2 linked regions of the Arabidopsis thaliana genome follow. The protein of the gene in region 2 purifies or fractionates together with the protein of the main gene of each other region. This does not show direct contact. Each region holds a gene or a part of one and is shown on either strand. Other genes may lie near its edges.

Evidence for each region. The genes of interacting proteins can lie anywhere in the genome.
Region 1: the proteins of RPS9 (region 2) and PRPS20 fractionate together in Arabidopsis thaliana (co-fractionation; one large-scale study listed by BioGRID). This does not show direct contact.

The regions. Positions count from the first base shown.
Region 1 is NC_003074.8:5,114,227-5,118,153, reverse strand, and holds PRPS20 (chloroplast 30S ribosomal protein S20), read right to left. Parts: upstream 2,134-3,927; 5' UTR 1,939-2,133; coding exon 1,749-1,938; intron 1,600-1,748; coding exon 1,439-1,599; exon of another isoform or gene 1,000-1,438; coding exon 742-999; 3' UTR 666-741; downstream 1-665. Other genes in the region: AT3G15200 (Tetratricopeptide repeat (TPR)-like superfamily protein), read left to right, coding at 1-665; AT3G15180 (ARM repeat superfamily protein), read right to left, coding at 2,351-2,437, 2,542-2,639, 2,751-2,865, 3,099-3,146, 3,255-3,392, 3,576-3,673, 3,844-3,927.
Region 2 is NC_003070.9:28,156,884-28,161,165, forward strand, and holds RPS9 (ribosomal protein S9), read right to left. Parts: upstream 2,435-4,282; 5' UTR 2,320-2,434; coding exon 1,981-2,319; intron 1,166-1,980; coding exon 878-1,165; 3' UTR 503-877; downstream 1-502. Other genes in the region: AT1G74990 (RING/U-box superfamily protein), read right to left, coding at 2,954-3,367. UniProt on the Arabidopsis thaliana protein: Binds directly to 16S ribosomal RNA.

The sequences.
Region 1 (3,927 bases), on a different chromosome or scaffold from region 2:
AATTATACAGAGCAATGTGGGACACCAGAAGAAACCCGGATGTTAAAATCTGCAATAACGTTATTGATGCTTTGTGTTTCAAGAAGAGAATCCCTGAGGCTCTTGAAGTATTCAGGGAGATTAGTGAGAAAGGTCCCGACCCGAATGTTGTGACGTATAACTCACTTTTGAAGCATCTCTGCAAGATAAGGAGAACTGAGAAAGTTTGGGAGCTAGTGGAAGAGATGGAACTTAAAGGTGGTAGTTGTTCGCCTAACGATGTGACATTCAGTTACTTGCTCAAGTATTCGCAGAGATCGAAGGATGTTGACATAGTTTTGGAAAGGATGGCAAAGAACAAGTGTGAAATGACAAGCGATTTGTACAATTTGATGTTTAGGTTATATGTGCAATGGGACAAGGAAGAGAAAGTGAGAGAGATATGGAGTGAGATGGAGAGAAGTGGATTAGGACCAGATCAGAGAACATATACTATTAGGATTCATGGTCTGCACACAAAGGGGAAAATTGGAGAAGCATTGAGTTACTTTCAAGAGATGATGTCAAAAGGAATGGTACCAGAGCCAAGAACTGAGATGTTACTGAACCAGAACAAGACCAAGCCAAGAGTAGAAGACAAAATGCTTAGATCGAACTTAACAAGCGAAGAGTCTGAAAGCGACTAAATGTACATTATAAAGAAACAGATTTTGATTTTGAAAGATCTAGTAACAAAAACAAATTTCCGTTATCCCCATGTTCTTATGCAGCCATGGGCACAGCTTCTGATGGTGCTGCAGCAGCTGCGTCTGGGACGTACCAACCATGGTGAATTTCAACGGCTTTTTTCCTCCTAGCCAATCGAGACTTCCTACGGGCACCAGTGTTCTTGTGTAGTGCTTTAACCTTCACTGCTTTGTCAATTGCAGAATAAGCCTCTCCTATCAGTTTCTCCACCGTCACAATCTCATCAGCTTGCGCATCAGTTTTCTTCTTGAGCCCCTCAAGTGCTTCCAAGACCTGTTTACTCAAATGAATTTTACTCTCATCTTGCATGTATGTAAAAAAGTTACTTACAACATTTATAAGTCTTAGTTGTCGAGGATAATGAGATGTTCTAAACTATCAAGACTTTTAAAGTTCTCCCAAGTTCTAATAACAACATGAAACCGTCTCAACAGCTTCCACTTGAGTTCCATTTTTCGATAAATCGGTTGCAAACAATGATAACTAATCCACCTACTTGGATTCCAATGTTCAGTGTTGTTCATAGGTTGCTACAAGAATTCACAAGGAGAAACATTCCCTGATATATTTCCACCTAACTTATCACTAAGACTTCAGAGGAACAGCATTACAAGCTTATCAACAATCTTGTATCCTATCTTCAAACAGAAGCTCAAATTTTCAAAAGCACTCCAACATATTTTCACAGAAAGTATGAAGTTTACAACATTACCTTCTTCATCCGGGTACGGGCTTCAGATTTCTTAGATTTGTTGTAAACACGCCTCTTCTCAGCTTGGCGAGCTCTCTTTGCAGCTGAATCAGCTTTCTTGGTAGGAGCAGCAGCCTCACACACAATCAATTGCCTCATTGGCTTCTGTACCCACAAATTCCCTGTCCAAACATGTATATTTCAGTTCCAAAACCCCTAAAATTTTGACACTAGCGAAAGCATAAGAAAACGAATGGATTCAAAATGCCGATAACATTTCAATAATTCTCCATGACCAGGATGAAATTCACGATTCTGAAGTAGGGTTTACCGGTTGAGAAGGCGACGCATTGAGAAACGCTCTGAGAGAAGCTAAGGGAAGAGGATAAGGTAGCCGAAGCACCACGACGATTGGAGAAGGAAGAAGATGGTGACGAACAAGAGATTCCCTTAAGCGAAAGGACTTTGAATTGGGATTCGAGGGTCGCACAGGAAGAAAGACACTGCACTATCGTCGCCATCGATTTCTACAAGCTTCCTCTTCTCTCTTCTCTGCTCTTTCTCCCTCTGTTAGTAAAGAGTAATGGCTCCATTTCGAACCAGTGTTATCCATAAAGGAAGAGATGATGTCTGGAAACGCAATTACTATATTACCCTTGGTTTATCGTCTTAACTCCAGTTTAGCCCAGTGTTTTGGATCTCCCGCGTGGGCTAATGGCAAACGATGAGAAACGGACCAAACTCGTTATTCCTTTTTTTCTTTGATTAAGTTCAACACTAAAAATTAAAGAACACAAATTTCAACCGCCAAAACGTTTACTCCTAGCCTTCGTTGTTTATAGAAAGAACTAAAGTTTACTTATCGAACAGCCAGAGAAGATATAAAAAACTTTGGTTAACAAAGAAGTTTTAACTTTTTTTCTTTAGTTGTCTTTAAAATCCTTCGCCTGTCATTACTTCTGGTCGTGCGCCTCTGTGCTTCTTCGACATATATGGTCCACTTCGAACAGCTTCTTGCAACTGCAACAAATGTCAAACATGTCATCAGCAAGTAAAAGTACAACATCAAAGAAAAGCCTTTTCGAAACTTCCATCTTAAAGAGCGCAGAGGAAAAGTATGGAACCTTGTCACCGGTTTTTAGACGACGAGGGTCATCAACAAAGTTACTACACAAGAACGCTTCGTGAATTGCTTTGCAGCAGTTATACCTTGCTTCCATTGCTGAGTAAAAAAAAAATGAGATTTAGACTCGTAGATCAAAGAGGTTGAGGGAGGAAGAAGCCAATACAATGGCTGGAGTGTGGGTGATGCGAGGAATGTTACTTGGTTTACCTATTTTTGCAGTTTCAGTGGTTGCATCCGTAACTATGTTTATTATCTCTTCTTTGGCCAAGATTTCCACCAGGCACCATGGCCGAGCCACTAATGCTGTTAACGTTCGATAACCCTGCAAACAACATTGTAAACAATATACTATAAGCAAAAAACATAGTTACCTCTAGGCAATGCGTGAAGGTCTTATGTGAGATCAAATGAGTGACATGTATCCGAGTTTTGTGTAGAAGGACAAAAGAGATTTCTTAATTTTGAATGAAATGTAGTGTGTCATTTTGAAATTTCCAACTAGAGAAACAAAGGGGGAGAAGATATGATAGATCAGATGCTGAGTTAAAGGTTTACCGCAAGACGAATCTCTGAGCTTTGTTGAAGAACTGAGAGGAATAAACCCTGCAATTTGTGCGACATGCTTAAATTAGCTCATGCTACGGATCAAACAAAAATATGTAATCTGCACACTTCTGAGAGAAGAATAAGTAAAAGAGGAAACGAACTTACGGATGGGGTTAGTTTTGTGCTCTGTGCTGCAGCGTCGTATATCAAACATCTAAGGCTTTCTTCAGCTTTTCCATCAACTATTCTGTTGCTCTTAGGTCGTGTTTCACCTGCGATGTTTGCCAGTGCATGCAGTGCAGCCTGCACATGCCATTTACGAAACAATCATATAATTTCATGAATGTCTCTACTAATGAAGCAAAATTTCAACCCTCAATAGTTAGAATTAGAAATCCTAAAACTGGAAAAATTGGATCTTCAAAAATGTAGTAAGAGCATATAATCGGCAGAATTTCAATTGATGAGAAGCAAAAACACACTAACCAACTGTTTTCCATGTGCATTACGATCAAAGGCAGAAGCTACAACATGTCTTGCAGCTGGAGGTGAAGTTGAAAGGACAAGATCCGCTCCCTTCGTTGCTAAGATTATTGTAAAAATATCCATATAAGTTACAAGATCATTGCATGGGAAACGAATATCTTGTCGGATGCTCTTATAATTCATAATTCTAAATGTATGGCCTCTCTAGCTATCTCTTTTAGAAGACGACTGCAACAAACAAAGTTTCAAAGAAAAGTGACCCACTTACTTGATCCCATCTGACCAAGTGCATCAATGGCAGCTTCCTGTGCATCAGTATCATTCATCTCAACTGACTCCAGACTCCCATCAA
Region 2 (4,282 bases):
TAGATCCAGAAAGAAAAGAAGAAAAAACATTGATAAAAGTCATGGATTTGATACGTTAAAGCTGACTAATAAATATAATAGACCCCTCAAATTCATTAAATTCACACAATGAATGTCTCTTTTGACTTGTGTATAATCAAAAGTTTGATAGGATACACGTGATTTGTTTTTCCTACTGATCGAAACATTACACACATCAAGTAGCTCTAATATTGTATCAAACCAAGTTGTATTAGAGAATTGGTTTATGTTGGTTTGAAATCCAACCCAAGAGTTCAGGTTTTTTGTTTTGTTTTTAAGTGATGGAAATGGAATAAAAGAAAACAGAGGAAGCAGGAAAGAGGGGAGCAAGCGAATATGCATGGAAAGAGTCAAAGTGGGTAAGCTCTCTCATACCTAACATTCCATTTTCGCATCACCATTCCCAGCTAAACCAGCCTATTTTATGCACACATACATACTATCTCACACTTGTCGATTTCTGATTCGTTCGGTATGAGCCCATCAAAATCAACATTACTACTTCAATATCAAAGGAATTAGATAGATACACAAAGTGATACAAGTGTGTTCAGGTATTGCTGCTTATCCACTATCCATGAACACCTTTTGAAAGAAGCAAAGTTTTCACTTTCACCTGAAATCTAACTGATAAACGATTCAGAAGTGCATTTGTCTGATCACAATTCATAAGTGCATTTGTTACAAAAGCATATCAACTTTGCGTTCCATTCAAACAAAACAGAGATTGTATTAGTTCGTCTACACATAAACATTAACATGAAACAAAAGACCGATAATAGACAAGAAAAGTTTTTAAAAAAAATGGAGGCAGAGGAGTCTACTTGAAGAGTTGATCCAATGATATGTAAAACTCTTAACGCTTGGAGAATTGTGGGGCTTTACGCGCCTTCTTGAGCCCGGCCTTCTTTCTTTCAACCACTCTCGCATCTCTAGTGAGCAAACCTTCCTTCTTCAAAGGCGATCTGTGGTCTGCACTTACCTTCAGGAGTGCACGTGCGACTCCCAAGGTAATTGCTTGAGCTTGACCTGAGAGACCGCCTCCATGGGCTTTCACAAATATGTCGTAGCTATTCTCATATCCTAAAGTCACCAATGGTACTTTAACATACTGAAGCCACAATGGATTTCCCTGAAGGTACTCCTGAAAAAGGTTTACAATGATCATCATCAGCAATATACGTATGGATTCAAATCTTTCCCATTCACAACAAAACAGCTTGTCAAAACCCCCCAAACTTTTATCATAATCTCTCCTTGTTAACACTTTCTCAGCCACTTATCCTAAGTCTAAACAGCCTAGAATTTATCATATGAACTATTTGTTCAGAAATTTCTTCCAGTTTCACCTTAATCTATAACGTGCTGATGCAGCTCCCAGGTCACAAAGAACTACATACAGATAACGTCTGATCACAAGACTAATACCGATACAGTTTGATCACTTTCTCAGCCACTTATCCTAGTCTAAAGTCTAAATAGCCTAGAATTCATCATATAAACTATTTGTTCAGAGAGTTCTTCCAGTTTCAACTTAATCTGTAACGCGCTGATATAACTCATCTATCAAAAAGAAGTACATAAAGATACAGTTTGATCACAAGACTAGTATACCCTACATAACAGAGAATATCTTCATAAAGGTCAAGACTTTCTCTCCTACAAACTGCTACAATTTATACTACTAAATGCTTCAATCGATTACACACTATGCATGATGTCAGTCTCTTGCAGGTATCAGATATTCATATAAACCAAGAATATGTTCAAACGGGGGTAAGTGGACTGCTTTCATAGCTTTAGCTGTTAAAATACCAATTTCAAGTTCAAATCTTAATCTCATATGAGTAGTCAATTCTCAGCTGTATAAACTCCAAATTCAAGGCCTAAGCAAACACATCAAGCGACTAAGCAACAGTGTAAAAGCCAATAAGATAATGAAATTAGAAATAAATTTACCTTGGCATCACGATAGTTGATGATAACCTTCCCAGTACCTTCCTGAAGAACAACTCTAGCGATTGCGCACTTACGTCGTCCAGTGCCAATAATCTTCTGAGCAGCAAATCCTCCGGGAAGCCTCGATTTGACGTATTTCTTCAGTTCAACTATCTCCTCCTCCTCCGGTGGAGCAGATACCGTGGCGGTGATAGATAGAGAAGCGCGGCGTGCGGATTTCGCCGGTAATGCGAATACTGAATTCGCGCGGGGGAAGGAAATGGTGTTAGGTCTTTGAGAAACTTGGGAGGAGAACGAGAGTGAAGAGAGAGAAGAGGCGAGGTTCGTAATCGACGCCATTGTCGCTGAACGAAGAAGATAACGTCGAGCAAAGTGAAGCTGAGCTCAGGAGTTTCGTTGAACAGGTAAAAAGGAAGAAGATAACGAGCAGAGTGAAGATGAGATTAGGCACGGTCCCTCTCGCTTCATGAGCTTTCCAACTTATTGAATCGGCCCATTAGAGCCCATTAAAAACCTTCATTGGGCTTAACAAGGAGCTTGAAAACACAAATACTCTGTGTAGATTCGTTACATATGTTAACAAAAACAAAATGGTCAAAACAAAAATTTACATCACATCATTGTCATTTAGTTAATTTCCATGTTCTTTTGCCATCTACTCCAAATTACACGATTAAATGTGAAGCTTTAAATTCATCTGTGCGATAATCATATATTAAGGATCATATACTATAATCAGCATTCATGTTGATCAATCTGCAGATGTAGCACGAGAACAAGCTTATGACGATTTTTCACAAAGCGGAAGATTGGAGAATCAAATATTACAAGCAGATGCAAATTTTTTATAAGAATGTAAAAGTAGCTCTAAACATTAATTGTCAAAATAACAAAAATCGTAGACAATGTATAATAATAGTTTCAAAAACATTGTCAAAAAAACAGACTCAGATTCATCAAAAGATACTTTCCATTACAACAAGAAATTTGAAAACCGTAAACCAGTTGGCATGGCAGCAAAACTTGAATGCCCACCAAAGAAACTAGACCCATGATGTCTTTGTTCAAGACGAGGTCGAGCTGTTTCAGTCCTAGTCGCAGCTGGTCGATTAGGGACAGTAACACCACTATTGAGTTTCGATCTCGGATCAGAAGATGGCTTACCCATTCCATACAAAGGAACCAAAGTATCTTCCTTAACCAAAGCTTTACAAACAGGACAATGATTTGATTTAGAATGGTAATGGAGCCACTTGTAGAGACAAGGCCAACAGAACAAATGACCACATAGAGTCACGATCGGTTCTCTTGCCAATTCAAGACAGATATTGCATCCAAAGTTGTTTGATGCATCATCTTCTTCGTTCGTGATGGTGTTAATAGCCATTGTAAGATCTTTTTTCCTGCACACATGCAATGAAATTAACGAATGAGATGAAAAACTCTAAAACCCTTAAACGCGGTTTCATATAGAATTGATCAAACATGCAGAGAAATACAAAAATTTCACGTAGATTTGATTCAAAGTTTCGATTTTTACGAGAAGGGACAGCGTCTGAAAGATTTACCTCGGCGATGAGATAGAGGTTTCTGATGTACGATCGCAGAGATTAGAAGAGTCGGTGAAAGAAACTAGGAATACTGTTGTTTATATACTAACGGATTAACAAAACAAAAAAAAAAGGAAAAAAGTTGTTATTCTTCTTATGGCTGACCAAGCTTCCTTCATGTAATTATCAGATGATTTTTAAAGATTTAATAACATAATTTAAATAAAATTAGTTTATTTCCTTGGTTTCAATTCAAATTAAATGTCAGTTTTGACTTTTGACTAATAGTTTTGTTTACCAAAAATAATTATCGTTTTATGATTCTATACCTTTAAATTAAGTGAACGAATTACAGAATTTTAGTACTCGATCAAAAACAATACTAATACATATTGAACATTGCATTAAATTTTGTTTTATCCCTACCAAAATAAATAAATTAGTTTCATTGTTACTTGAAAAATGCCCAACCTAACGTTAAAACACGTAGTAGTGATTATTGTTTACAACATTTGTCCAATTATTAAAGTCAAACAATCCATAAACTGTTTACGCTAAAACTTGTGATTTTGACGGTTGCGGGATTCTAGATGATCATTGGTCACCTTGTACCCAAAGAAATCCTATTATATTATTTTGGAAAGTACATTTGAAATGTAACCTTAATTTTTGTAATTAATTACATGACAATGATATTAGAAAAATTTAATCAAAAACAAAATCTTTTAATGACGTTATTAAGGTTACCAAAA